2 linked regions of the Pelodiscus sinensis genome follow. The main gene of each other region encodes a partner of the protein of the gene in region 2 in a complex. Links are inferred from orthologs where the notes say so. Each region holds a gene or a part of one and is shown on either strand. Other genes may lie near its edges.

Region 1 (6,962 bases), on a different chromosome or scaffold from region 2:
TGTTCACACTAGCATTTTAATACATGTTAGTAAAAACTTAAAAATTAGTGAAATCAAGGTGCAGATCTTGAAGGGTATGCTGACCAGACTGGAGAAATCAGTATCAAGGGAGTATACTCATAGGCAAGGTCATCTCTAATGTTTATTTCTTGCACTGACTAAAGTAGGAGGTAAGAACATACTGTGGTAGATTCAGAACAAGTTATTTTAAAATGTTGATATTTGACTAAATTGACAAGAGTCATTTCCTACAGAAGCCATTTCTTCACCTCCAAAACCACATTAACCGTAAGAGGATGAAAAGACAGGATGATCTAGCAATGTCCAGCGGAAAAGCAGAACAAACCAGCAATCTATGTTTCTGTAACCTCTGTAATCCTATAGGGTTACTGCCTTACTACCTAAAGCTACCTCACCTGACCCTGGTATGGGGGAAAAGATGCTTCGCAAAGATGCTTCACAAAGATGATTGGATCTTCCAGTTATTGCCCAGGCTAGGGATGAAGAATTTTTCTGTGTGTGCTTGAAAGCGACATAGGAGATGCACCATAATAAGGTAAACTAGAGACGGTAGAGACCCATTAGCTCCCATTCCCTCCCTCCCTCATCACCTGAGGCCAGCGCAGCCAGGCTCCCTACAGGGCATTTCCCAGAAGTCTGCCTGGTTTTAGAATGTAGAATGGATGTAGAAGCTCTATATACCAACATCCCACATGAAGACGGATTACAAGCAATTAGAAACACTATCCCAGAGGACACTACTGCCAACCTGATAGCAGACTTATGTAACTTTGTTCTCACCCACAATTATTTCCAGTTTGAGAACAACTTATACCTCCAGATCAGCGGCACAGCCATGGGTACACGCATAGCCCCACAGTATGCTAACATCTTTATGGCTGACCTAGAACGTTTCCTCAACTCCCGTCCCCTTTCACCCCTTCTCTACTTACGGTACATCGATGACATCTTTATGATCTGGACGCATGGCCAAGAAACACTGGAGATATTCCACAGAGATTTCAACAACCTACACCCCACCATCAACCTCAGCCTGGACCATTCTACACGAGAGATCCACTTCCTGGACACCACAGTACAACTCAACAATGGAAAATTAGACACCACTCTCTACAGAAAACCCACCGACTCATACAGTTACCTACATGCTTCCAGCTCCCATCCAGAACACACCACACGATCCATCGTCTATAGCCAAGCCCTTCGATACAACCGCATCTGCTCTAATCCCACTGACAGAGACCAGAAGCTTCAGGATCTCTACCAAGCATTTATAAACCTCAACTACCCACCCGGAGAAATAAAAAAGCAAATTGACAGAGCCAGACGAATACCTAGAAACCATCTACTTCAAGACAGACCCAAGAAAACCAACAATAGAACACCACTTGTCATCACCTACAACCCCCAACTTAAACCTGTCCAACACATTATCAATAAACTACAGCCTATACTGGAACAGGATACCATACTCCAAGAGGCTCTGGGAGACAGACCCATAGTCTCCTATAGACAACCACCTAACCTCAAGATGATTCTTACCAACAACCACAGGACATACCACACTAATACCAACCCTGGTACCTTCCCTTGCAACAAACCCCGTTGCCAGCTTTGTCCACATATTCATTCTGCTGATACCATTATTGGACCTAACCAAGTGAGTTATAAGATCAAGAACACATATTCCTGCGCATCCAGAAATATAATCTATGCTATCATGTGCCGAAAGTGTCCATCTGCTATGTACATTGGACAAACATCTCAGACACTTCGCCAAAGGATTAATGCCCACAAAACAGATATCAGACAAGATCACAAAGAAAAAACAGTTTCTTGCCATTTTAACCAGAAAGGACACTCTCTCAATGACTTAACCACCTACATTCTGCTACAAAGACCTTTTACATCTGCACTTGAAAGGGAATCCTCTGAACTGTCATTCATGTTAAAATTCGACAATCTCCGAGAAGGAATGAACAAACACTCCAACTATCTTACCCATTACCAAGATAGCTTCCCCAATTATCACCTCTAATACCATTAGCTCACAGACATCCCACTCTCCCCACCTCTAATATCATCAATTGACAGACACTTACCTTCCTTCCTTCTCCCCCCCCCCCCCCCACATCCCTCTCCTGTTCTGAAATGTGATTTGTCCTTTTCATATGTGTTCATTTTTTTTAATTGTATCCTTTGGTATATATGGTTGTGACTATTTTCTTCCACTATTTGATCTGAGGAAGTGGGTCTGGCCCACGAAAGCTCATCATCTAATAAACCATCTTGTTAGTCTTTAAAGTGCTACATTGTCCTGCATTTTGGTTTTAGAAAGTCCGGCTTCCTTTTCCGAAATTCCTGCTCTCGAGATTGCCCCACTCAGCCTCTGCCCAGGTTTCACCAGGAGACGAGGGTGAGCTCAGACCGGCCTCCCCGCCATCGTCCGCGACCTCCCAGAGCCGGTACCCGCCGTAGGGGAGTGTTCCCCGCACAGGGCAAAGCCGCCCCGCGTCTCATCTCTCCCCCTTCTCCCGGGCAGGGAGACCCAGGGCCCGTAACGGCCTCAAGAGGCCGCGCCCCGCCCGGCCCTCACCTCGTACTCGCGGATGTTGTTGGAGGTGACGAAGATGCCGATGCCGATGGGGATGAAGATGAGGCCGATGATGAAGAAGGCGGGCAGCACGGTGCCCGCGGTCAGGATGGGCTGCCAGGCCGGCAGGCGCTGCTGCTTGAAGGCCGTGTTATCCGGCTTGCGGCTCTTCCCCGCCCCGCCGCCGGGCCCGCCGCCCGCGGCCCCCACTCCCGACGGGTGCCCGTCCGCCTCCTCCTTCGCGTTGTAGTTCACCGCCATGGGGCTGAGGAGGGGGAGCAGACGGCGCTCCGCTCGGGAACCGGGGCCGCCTCCGCTCGGGCCAGGGACGAGTGGGAGAGAACTGCGCCTGCGCGCGGAGAAGGGGACAGTTCCGCAGCCGCGGAGCCACTGACAACAACCAAACGTCACCAGCTCCCCTCACCGCCGGGTGACCGAGGACAACTTCCGTCCACCCCCCATAAACCTGCGCATGCGTCGCCGCAATGGGCGAGGCTGGGGCTTGGATCTGGGGCGCACAATCAATGACGATAGGTTCCATGGTCCCTGCTTCCGGCACAGCCGGCACTCCCTGCCCATGAGCCAAAACAGCGCATGCGCACAGAGAGCGCGAGCGACTGCTGGAAGCGTAGTTGGCAGGAGCAGCGTGCTGGAGATACTCTCAGGCACGCGGAATCTCTCCTCCCTTCCCGGTGGGGACATTCGCTCCAGTGGGAGGCTGCACGTGACTGCGCTGCACGTGTCAGTAGGTTGTGGCACGCTGTGTCCTGTACTGCCCACCTGTGGAACTACTTGCCAAAGGATGTTGTGAAGACTAGGGCTACATCTACACTGCCCCTTTTCCGGAAGGGGCATGTAAATTTCACCAGTCGTCGTAGGGAAATCCGCGGGGGATTTAAATATCCCCCGCGGCATTTAAATAAAAATGTCCGCCGCTTTTTTCCGGCTTTTAAAAAAGCCGGAAAAGAGCGTCTACACTGGCCCCGATCCTCCGGAAAAAGTAGGAATAAGACCCTCCGGAAAAGGGCACATTTTCCGGAGGATCGGGGCCAGTCTAGACGCTCTTTTCCGGCTTTTTTAAAAGCCGGAAAAAAGCGGCGGACATTTTTATTTAAATGCCGCGGGGGATATTTAAATCCCCCGCGGATTTCCCTACGACGACTGGTGAAATTTACATGCCCCTTCCGGAAAAGGGGCCAGTGTAGACGTAGCCACGGATTTTAACAGGATTCAGAAAAGAGCTAGAATTCATGAAGGTTAAAATTCATGGCGGTTAAGTCCATCAAGGGCTATTAGCCAGGATGGGTAGGAATGGCGTCCTTAGCCTCTGTTTGGAAATGGATTTCATGAGAGGGATCAAGGGCGGCCCTAGTCTAGCTGCCAGCAACAGGCACCCTAGGCGAACCATGCAATCGGCGCCCCCATCTCCAAACCCCTCAACAATATTGCACCACCATTTGGCACCCCATATAACTTGGCACCCTAGGCGACCGCCTAGTTCACCTATATGGACAGGCCACCCCTGACTGAGGGATCATGATGATTACCAGTTATGTTCACTCTTTCTGGGGCATCTGGTATTGGCCATTGTAATCAGACAGGCTGCTGGGTTAGATGGACCCAGTATGGCTATTCTTATATTACACTGCATTAGGAATGGCAGTGGTTGCCCTGTGCAGATGCACAGACACGTTAGGGTGTGTGTGCATGCATGCGTAGGACTGAATCTCGCTTTGTGCCTGTGTGAGCTGCCCAAGGTCGATCTGGTTAGAAGCGGAATAGGGCTGCTGGATGGCTGGGCCGGGGTGGGGGGGGGGAGAGATTTTCCCCCTCCTTTTACTTGCAGTCCCACTCTTGTTATGCCTGCCCATGGCACCACTCCATTCTGTCCTTTCCCCCCATGTCCCTGCCCCGCTCCATCCACAGCCCCATTGCACTCCCCGCCCCCTCATTACATCCTAAGAGCAGAGAGAAATTCTGCCCCTAGCCACGGTCCCTGGGCCACAGCCCTCAAGCTCCAGCACAGAGCTAGAGTGCCTCCACTCAGTTGATATTTTTATACTGTTTTTAAACCCAGATAAAAGTTTTACCCAACAGAAAGTTAAAACTACTATTAAAACAGAACTATTTCAGTAGTGCTGCTGTATTTTTCAAAAAGCTGTCAGGTTTGTGACAGATTAAGTCAAATTAGTTCTTACCTCAGATGATTATTCATTGACAACAAGTAATGTGTCTTTAAGACAATGGGCTTGGTTCACCACTATGTTAATTCCAATTTTGTGCTGGTGTAACTTGATAGAAATCAATGACACATGTATGGGTCTGATTCTTATTGCTGTTTTACACTGGAAGTTAATATTTCTTCAGCTCTGTGTAAGGAAATTGAAATATACTGTGTAATTTCAGGATGTCATAACTTTCCCATATGCATCTCTGTCTTATTCTGCAGCTTATGCTGCAGAATCCTCCTTTTCTCACTCCCAGCAGAATCGTGTACCAGAATAAAGTTTTTCCTTTAAAAAAACGGCAAGAAATCCAGCTTCAATGGTTGTACAATAACCTTGAAAAGATTATCTGAATGACTACTGCTCCATTATCTGCTGCTGAAAAGCCCAGTGAGATGTTTACATTTACTAAGGTGTAATTGCTAGCTATTTCACTTCTGAGCATTTTAGCAAAAAAACCCATTAATATGCTTGACTCAAAATCTCAAACCAGATCCCCAAGTGACAAGAAACCCAGTAGTCCCTATTCAGCAGCCCAATGTTCCAGTTTCCTCAATCACTTTACGCTACCATTATACTCTAACAATAAAAAAATCTGAAATATGGGGAAAATTTAAAATAAAATTAATTTATTAAAAAAATAAATAGCATGAGGGATGATATACAGATTATGTATTCATATCTATAATTCATTTTAAATGTAGCTGCCACTGAATTTTCATTATGATTCTTTAGATTGCTGTATTAATCATCAAAGGGCCACTGATGTAAAATTTAAGTTCATTTTACAGTGGCATACATGAAATCTTGTTATATGATCGTTTGGCTGTCTTTAAATCTATATAAGGAGATTGTATTGTGATAGTTGATGGTATAAACTCAAAGGTAGAAACAATGTCATCATTAATTTTGCCAGATGATTATCTTTCTTCAGAGCTTTGATAATCTCTGGATCAGTTTTATTATGCATGTAGTATACACTGTGATATTGTAATGAAATACCAGCCTAAAGAAGGTAACTACAAAAACCACGCAATTTCTTTTTTTTTTTTTTTTTAGCAGTAGCAATTTCTATAAAGTAAAACGAAAAAGGTGAACTTCAATACTGTCAGCCTTACGGCACTTGTGTCACAATCCAAACACTTGGTTACATTTGCATTCTTGTGAAAATTTATTTGTTACAGTGTGATGAAAATTGATTTTTTTCAGTACAGGCAGAAGTAAAAACACATTGTAAAATAATCATCATCAAGGTTCATGAAAACTTGTTTACAATGTTTAAAATGAATCTTTAAAATCAGATAGTAGTCCAGAGCTTTGGTTTGTTAGCACTCATTTTTATGTTGAACCTCTGCACAGTGCAAGAAAAATTCTATAACAGTATACCCTATATGGCAGTCCCGTGAGCATTTAGTCTCTCAGTCTAATGACAGGAAAATGTGTTTCACACTTTTTTTGTGTTTTTTTAAAGCACTTTTGGGATTAAAACTTAACTTTTTTTTTACTGTCTTTAATACAAAAATATCAATACAGAGAATTTTGACAGTGTATTCTACAAATTAATGTGCAATGGACAGTAGCAATTGGAAGGTTTGGGGAAAGTTACATTAATGTGTTTTATAAAAATAAATTATATAGCAAACACCACCAAACAAAATCAAGCAGGTGCCTCATGTTTTGCAAAATAAGAGTAACATTCAGTTGACACCTTGACTGTTTTTCTCTACATATTTTCAAAGTATCAACAAGGCCATTACTTTTAAAAACTCTACAAATAATTCAGAATAATCCAAAGAAGTTCTAAAATACTTCTGTAAGTGATCAGTAGCACAGGAGACCATGGTGACAGTGGTAGAGGGCATCAACAGTGATCCATCCAACTGGTGTGGAGAGGAAGTGCACACATACAGAATGCATTGCGTATTGTATCTCATCTAGAGTTCATGCGTAACTGATGAATGATGACACTCTCTAAGAGAAAAGAGCAAAACATTTGCTATTATATAATTGGAAATATAGGTAATTTTAATACAATTACTAGAATTTGGCATTTTTATAGTGCTTTTTGTCAAACTTTTAGAGACCTTAATTAAACCTTACAAATACACTTCAGTGAGGTAAGA
Region 2 (7,139 bases):
ACTCACTCCTGCAATATATTTACTACCATTTTCATCAGAATTCACAGCAGTCAATGTTTTCTTCAGATCGCCCCACCATCACAAGTAGGATGCACCAATCATTTATTAAACACTCCCTAAAATATAGTGAAGAGCTGCTATTATCATTAGAGTTTGAACTTCCATTTCTACATTCACTGTATTGTAAAGTCTTCTAGGTAGGGACTATCTGCCTATGGCTGTACAGCACAAAATTACACTGTTGACACTTAAAATACCACTAATAAAAACTGTTTGTACGTAAGTGAAATACACTACACTTGTGACCCACAGAAAAGTTACATGAACCCTACTAAGAGATTCAATTAAAAAAATGACTCCCCTCCTGTGAAACTAATTATTTGATAATGTAATATAGTTATTTTATTAGAGAATATGACTTAGCCCAGTGGTGGGCAACCTGCCACCTCAGGGCTACCTGTGGTCCCTCAGGTTCTGTGTGTGGCCTGTGAGACCTTATGTTTACCGTTACCTATGCACAGAGTTGCCAGATCCCGCTGGCTGGGTAGGTTTTTTCCTTACTTGTATTACTGAAGTGACATGCACATAAACCAAAGACACATGGGCTAACTGCATACAACATTGACTGTGAGCTTCCTCTACATCCAGTCAAAGTGCTGCTATGGTTTAACTGGAACATCCTGCAAATTCTAGGAATACAAGCGCAGTTAGCAAACTACCCTATCCCAGGAGACCATCTTAGTTACAACAATATGCTGCCCATTCACTAGTCTAGGCTTCTCATCGCTGGCTTAGCCTGAAATTCATATAATGTGTAAGCCTTTATATAACCTTTACATTTGGTCAAAATATTAAACATCGTCACTCCGGGATTTCTCATTTCCTTAAGTGAATAAAAAGGAAGAAAACAATCGCTTAGTCGACATAGGAATTAATATCCTGTAGCATTTTCTTCCTTTGTTATGTTGTTGTGCTTTATATAAAGTTGTGCAGATCAAAATTGCTGCAGTCACAATGGAATCAGGCAATCCTTTTCATATTAAAAGAAAATGAAAAGTTATTACAATGAGCTCAAGAAGTAGAGAGTCTTTAAAAAAATAAAATAAAATGTAATGGAGCATATACAGTTACATACAAACAACAAATTCTGGAGTCAAAGCAGTTGCATCATAATTTGCCTTTGTCCACCCAGTACAGGGAGGAGAATGACGTTCATTTCTCTATTGTGCAGGCAGACGGGATTGAAAAGACATTTGAAAACAAACACCAGTTTTGCTTTTTTTTTTTTTATTTCATTTCCTCCTCCACTTAGGCAACATATCAATGCAGTGCGCTTCTCCATTGAGTTAATGTTTACTTTAAAATGTGATCATTCTGAAAATGAATCAGAACTGGCAGGTGTACTGGTCATTTACCCAATCACGCAGGTCTGTGCGCGCACTGGAGGAGATTAGTGAATTACACCCAGGGAAAAAATAGATATTTTGGCATTACACTATACAAGCTCTATTAATACAATACAATAATAGAATACTAGAAATGTAAGTGATCTTGAGAGTAAGTCAATAGAATACTAGAATTGTAAGTCTTCAAGTCCAGTCCCCTGCCCTCACAGCAGCACCAAAAAGGGTCTATATCATCCCTGATAGCTACAGATCTAACTTGCTCTTAAATATCTCCAGTGAAGAAGATTCCACAACCTCCCTAGGCAATTTATTCCAGCGTTTAACCATCCTGACAGTTAAGAAGTTTTTCCTGGTATCCAACCTTGCTCCCTTGCTGCAGTTTAAGCCCATTGCTTCTTATCCTATCATCAGCCGTCAAGGAAAACAATTTTTCTCCCTCTTCCCTGTAACACCCTTTTAGGTTAGTTAACTATTATGTAACGTTAAATATCTAGTTTAGTTTATGAATGGCCTCCAGACATCCTCTGTACCTTAGTTACAGAAATCTGGGAGATGTAGATAACTAGCGCACATGTCTGGAGAGAGAGATAAACGCTGAAGGGGGACAGCCCTTGCACCTTGAATCTGGCTGGGACCTGTTTGGATTCCTGTCAAAGAGCTACCAGAACCAGTTTGGCTTTTCTCTCGCGGTGGGCTGCGCGGCTCTAAAGTTCAGTTAGGGAATCAAGCAGAGCCACCGCTTGGCCTGGGAGCCTCCAGCCTTTCCCTGGCACTCCTGCCTTGGCTGTCTCAGGTCCGGGCAAGCCAACGGGAACAGCACTCGGGGAAGGCAGCCAGGGATGCGGAGAGCCCTGGAACCAAACAGTGACCCCGCCTGGGAATCGCTCCAATCCAGGGAGGTGCTGCAGCACCTAGGAAGCGAACCCCGCAGGAGCTCTAGGAAAGTTAGAGCCACTCGCCCGGGGTGGAGCTCTGGGGCGGCAGGAGCAGGGCCAGGTGCTCAGGCGGAGCGTGCTCCGGAGCGCACAGCTGCTGTGGGCTCGGGGAGAACCGCCTTCCCCTCTCCCCCGGGGGCTCGGTCCTCACGCCCCGCACCCCGCCTGGCGAGCCGCCGCGCCTGCCCCCCAAGCTACCCACACCCCCTCCAGCCCCGGTGCGAGACGCGCAGCGCCCCGCCTCCGCAGCCCCCTCACCTCTCGCTGGAACTCGGGCCCCGGCCGCTCGGGGCAGCTTCCCGCCCTACACCTTGCACGCTCGCCCCGCTTGCTGCACGCCAGCTGCTCTCCCCAGCCCTCCAATGGCGCGCGGCTCCCCGCCTCGCTTGGCAAGCGGGCTCAGCACCGGCCAAACGAGTTCCTCAACTCTGCACAAGGTGCCTGGCCGCGCGCAGGAAGGTGAGCGCCGGCTGAAGGTGTGTGGCGGGGGTGGCTTACTCCTTGGGACTCATCCTCCCTTGGCGGGGTGGAGGGGGAACCCACCTCTGCCGCAGCTGCCCTCACTAAGCCCTTCCCCTAGCCCGGGGACAGCCCACGTGACTCCCAGGTACTAACAGCGGCCACCGGGGCAGGAGACATCCCCCTTTCCCCAGCCCCGTAGCCAGGGGAGCGGCCTGCGCTCGGGTTACACGCTGGGAGCGCTCCCCCTGGAGAGCGGCGCTAGCAGCTAGGTAGAGCCATGCCCGCTCCTCCTGGGCCCACCTTATTGTCTGTGCCTCAAGGTTCTCAGCCGCGCTCAGCCTGGCCTTGAGCCCTGCTTGGTTAGAAATCCGGACAGCGCCAGAATCATCCGAGGCATTTACTCATCTTTGTGTACCCCACTCCCTCCACCTGTCTCAGTTACCTCATTCGGGACTTTCTTGTAGGTGGGAGCTGCCTGGTTTTTGTTTCTCTTTGAAAGAAGGGGAACTAAACCCCGGGCTCTCTCTTTCCCAAGGTTTTGTTTTGGTTTGGTTTTTTACATTTGCATCTAATTATCTGCGGGGAAAGAAGCGAGGGGTTGTTTTGTTTTAGGCTTTTTTTTTTTTAAAGGTCCTTCAGGTTTCAGATCCAGTGAAACGTGTGAAGAGCTACATCCGTTTGATATTAGCCCCAATCCTGTACAGCCTGAAAATTGTAATCTTTCTCTTCAAAAGCACCCTTCTTGAAAATGGTTTTGGCAAAAAGCAGAGTGTTGGCTGAGCCAAAAATACAACTCGGTTGTGTCCTGGTATCAGAAATTTGAATGTTAAAGGGGCATGCAAAGAAGAAACAGAAAGAATTGTGGGTATTTTGCTTTTCTATAATGGTTTCAATAGCTCTGGAATTATTTTTTCAAAATATTTTACTTACCTGGTTTTTTCCCCTTAGAAATATCAAACCTGGTCTTCCTTACTTTTTTTTTCCTGAAAGACTTCCCTACATTAAAAGTGATAGAAATGTAGCGGTGTTAGTCTGTTGTAGCTGAAACAAAATACAGGACTATGTAGCACTTTAAAGACTAACAAGATGGTTTATTAGGTGATGAGCTTTCGTGGGCCAGACTCACTTCCTCAGATCAAATAGTGGAAGAAAATTGTCACAACCATATTTTTTCCACTATTTGATCTGAGGAAGTGGGTCTGGCCCATGAAAGCTCATCACCTAATAACCATCTTGTTAGTCTTTAAAGTGCTACATAGTCCTGTATTTTGTTTCAGCTACATTAAAAGGTATGTTGTGATTAAAGATGTTTAGCTGCTCAAAGATTGCTGTGATAGGAACCATATAAATACTTCACATATCTGATAGATATTAAATAACTATCAAAACTGTACTCCATTTTTAAATAACCTGTTTAAAATTCACTTCCTTTCACAATTAGTTAGATGGCACTTCCTCGTTGCTTTTGATGATGTCACAATCTCACTAGAGTCCTCCATCAAAGAAGCTAAAAGAAAAAAAGACACACATTTTAATTTTTTTTGTTGTTTTCATTTTGAAAGCCTTTATTGGGCTAATAAACAGTTTAACCCACTTATAACAAATTTTGGAGATCTTAAAGGCTGAAACAAAATGTCTTTTGCAACCGAGATGGAGCTCAATTGTGTTCAGTTAGATCCTGAATATAGTGCTGTGAATTATTTTATTGTGAACCTTGCCATATTTGGTGTTTTTCTTGTAATTATATGGGATTTAGATTTCATTACAAAAAAGTTTCTAGTTTTTGTAGTTGTGAAGAAAGTTTGTAAATAAACTATAGGTACCTTAAAGACTCAATCTGCAAAAAAAAGAGTCTCCAATATGTTATGTTTAAGACAATTGGAGGGGTCTGACTTACGGTTTTTGGACAATTGGGGTGCCAATTGTTTTGTACTGGCATTACTCTGGGGGTTGGCAATTCTGCGAGTGTGTTGTGAATAGTTTGTTTATTCACTTGCAACTCTTTCTTGCTCTGTTTTCAGGTATTCTTTGTTTTGGATGAATTCTGAAGTTAAACATAAAACATTTTGAAAAGAGAATGCAGATTCCTTAAATGAAACAGACAAAAAGTACCGAGAGTAAATTTATAGCAAAAGACTTTCATAAGAATTCAGTGGGAGGTCTTGGGTACTAAATCCTTTTGAGAACCCAGCTAGTGATGTCCCTGACCCTAAATTTGACAGCCTAAGGCACTTTCATATTGTTTAATCTGCAGGTCAGCATGTCCGGAAATAATGTTACACATGCTTCCAAGGTGGCCTAAAGAAGAGGTCTCTGTAGGTAAAAGCTTCTCTCTTTCACCAGCATATACTGAGTCAGTGAAAGAGATTACCTCACCTACCTTGCCGTTCTTCCAGGAAATACTCAGGTAAGAGCCCCTTACCAACAAACTTCTTATTTAGACTTTAAGAATAATAGAGGCACTCAATAAGTGCTCTCTAATATAAGTGCTGTACTAAATCCACATTAATACAAACACATACAATGATGGGAAGTGTACATTTTACATTGGGGGTAGCGGAACCTTTTTTGGTTCAGGGGACCATTGATCCACAGAAAAATTAGTCAGAGGCTGCACACAAGTGAGAAGGCAAAAAACCAACAACCTGAAAAAAAACCCCACAACCTCACTGATGTGGCCCCTGACTGAGAAGGAGAAAGATACTTCCCACATTCCCCTCGCACACTGGAACCTCATGTGCTCCAGCTCCACAGGGAGTTGGCGGGGGGGGGGGGGGGGAGGGTCCTAGAACACCAAACACAGACTCCCCACTGCTGGGGAAGAGCGCTGAGCCCCGGGGTCCAGATCCAGGTGAGCCGCATCCGGCCCCTGGGCCTTAGGCTTCCCACTCCTGTTTTACATGCTACCTAAGATACATAACAGATAGGATAATGAGAATGTGTTAACTATAATTATCATGTAATTATTTAAGTGCCAACAGTATGTTCAATACGGTATAGAAACAAATACAGTTTCTGCTCCAAGGTGTTTACAAGATCTTCTTACGCTGAAGTAAAAACAAGATCAAAACTACACAAAGGCCACAATGATAAAATAAATATTAAACCTTTACTGTAAATAGATAATCCCACTCACACTTCTAGTCCACCATTTACATGATAGGTACTTATAGCACTATTGTTTTCCCCCCAACATGTCAAAGTATTTGCTGACACTAAGTTTTGATAAGTCATCTGGTATCTTGTTTGCAGTGGTTTCTGATGACTCAGTGCACTAGCAATTATTTTTGTTACCAAATTTATTCATACTCATTTCAACAAAATTTGCTTAACTTCCTTATGAAACATTATGCTGTTTCCATTGCTAGAGATTCATCAGTTGCTAGAGTCTGGATTTTATTCCACAATCCCATGTTTTCTGTAACCATTTCCAGTGATCAGAGGACATGGCATGGAACTGTCATCAGAAAGATAGAAGAAAATTCAGAAAATGATATGATGGAACGTAGAAATTTGTGAAAATGAAAATGAGTGCAGAAATAGAAACAAGATGATGATGATGAGGAGACAGAATGTTGAGAGTAGAAAATATAGTAGGATAAAAGGGATGAGGAGTAGTAAGTGATAAAATAAAGTTAAAAACAAGGCATAGAAGTATTTGGAAAGAACCTAGCATACAGTGGTTGCTACCAAAATAAATACATAAATAATAAAGAAGACATTTGGAGAAGTAATGCCAAGTGAATGAATAAATGTGTTTTGTTTAACTGAACCCAATAATCAATCAACTGAACCCAATCAGTTAAGGATGTTTCAGAAGAAGGTGCTAGAAAATCCATAGCAGACAATTAAGGAAAAACTTAGGGGGAAGTTTCCTAACCCCTTTCTGTCTGTGTTTGGGTTATGCCTGGTGTTTCTAATATGTATGTAGCCTATACAATGTAACTATGGATGTTCTCAGTTGTCTTTATCCATCAAAACAGCTAATCCAAATCCTAATTATCTGAAACTTTTGGCCCCAATGATGGTTTGTGGCAATAAGATCCACACGTTAATTATGTTAATTTTTTTTAAAAAAATCCCTTTATCTGTGTTAAAATTTGTGACTTTCAGTTTCTCCCTTTTATAATGAGGTGATCAATGTGGTAATGAACTAGTAGCTGAACAATAATATGTGAGCAAAGGGCAGTGTGGTGATGTTCTACTGCTTTTCAATTTCCTCAATGAGGGAAATATGTCAGTGAGGAGGGAAAAGTTGTATGTCTGCTGAGAGAGAGTTTGAGACCTGGAAGGACAGATAGTGAAGAATAGAGTCAGTTGTTTCTGGTGAATGTCA

Evidence for each region. Proteins that work in one complex are often made in the same cells at the same time.
Region 1: the proteins of ATP8B1 (region 2) and TMEM30A are in contact, whole or in part, in a cryo-EM structure (PDB 7VGI), measured with the Homo sapiens proteins. The link is inferred for Pelodiscus sinensis from reciprocal best matches to the Homo sapiens genes ATP8B1 and TMEM30A. Residues at the interface, in NP_001361314.1 of Homo sapiens: Thr138, His359, Trp362, Glu363, Val366, Ser369, Ser370, Trp371, Tyr372, Leu373, Tyr374, Asp375, Gly376, Arg384, Ile388, Phe418, Asn420, Trp421, Asp422, Leu423, Tyr426, Lys430, Asp431, Thr432, Pro433, His939, Trp942, Arg946, Tyr968, Phe971; in NP_060717.1 of Homo sapiens: Lys24, Thr25, Arg26, Arg27, Pro28, Asn30, Phe33, Lys34, Gln35, Gln36, Arg37, Leu38, Pro39, Ala40, Trp41, Gln42, Pro43, Ile44, Leu45, Thr46, Ala47, Val50, Phe54, Ile57, Phe61, Ile64, Ile68, Ile75, Phe119, Tyr121.

Annotation. Positions count from the first base shown.
Region 1 is NC_134713.1:55,346,876-55,353,837, forward strand, and holds the start of TMEM30A (cell cycle control protein 50A), read right to left. Parts: upstream 3,090-6,962; 5' UTR 2,876-3,089; coding exon 2,618-2,875; intron 1-2,617. UniProt on the Homo sapiens protein: Accessory component of a P4-ATPase flippase complex which catalyzes the hydrolysis of ATP coupled to the transport of aminophospholipids from the outer to the inner leaflet of various membranes and ensures the maintenance of asymmetric distribution of phospholipids.
Region 2 is NC_134716.1:110,413,942-110,421,080, reverse strand, and holds the start of ATP8B1 (phospholipid-transporting ATPase IC), read right to left. Parts: upstream 3,096-7,139; 5' UTR 2,600-3,095; intron 1-2,599. UniProt on the Homo sapiens protein: Catalytic component of a P4-ATPase flippase complex which catalyzes the hydrolysis of ATP coupled to the transport of phospholipids, in particular phosphatidylcholines (PC), from the outer to the inner leaflet of the plasma membrane.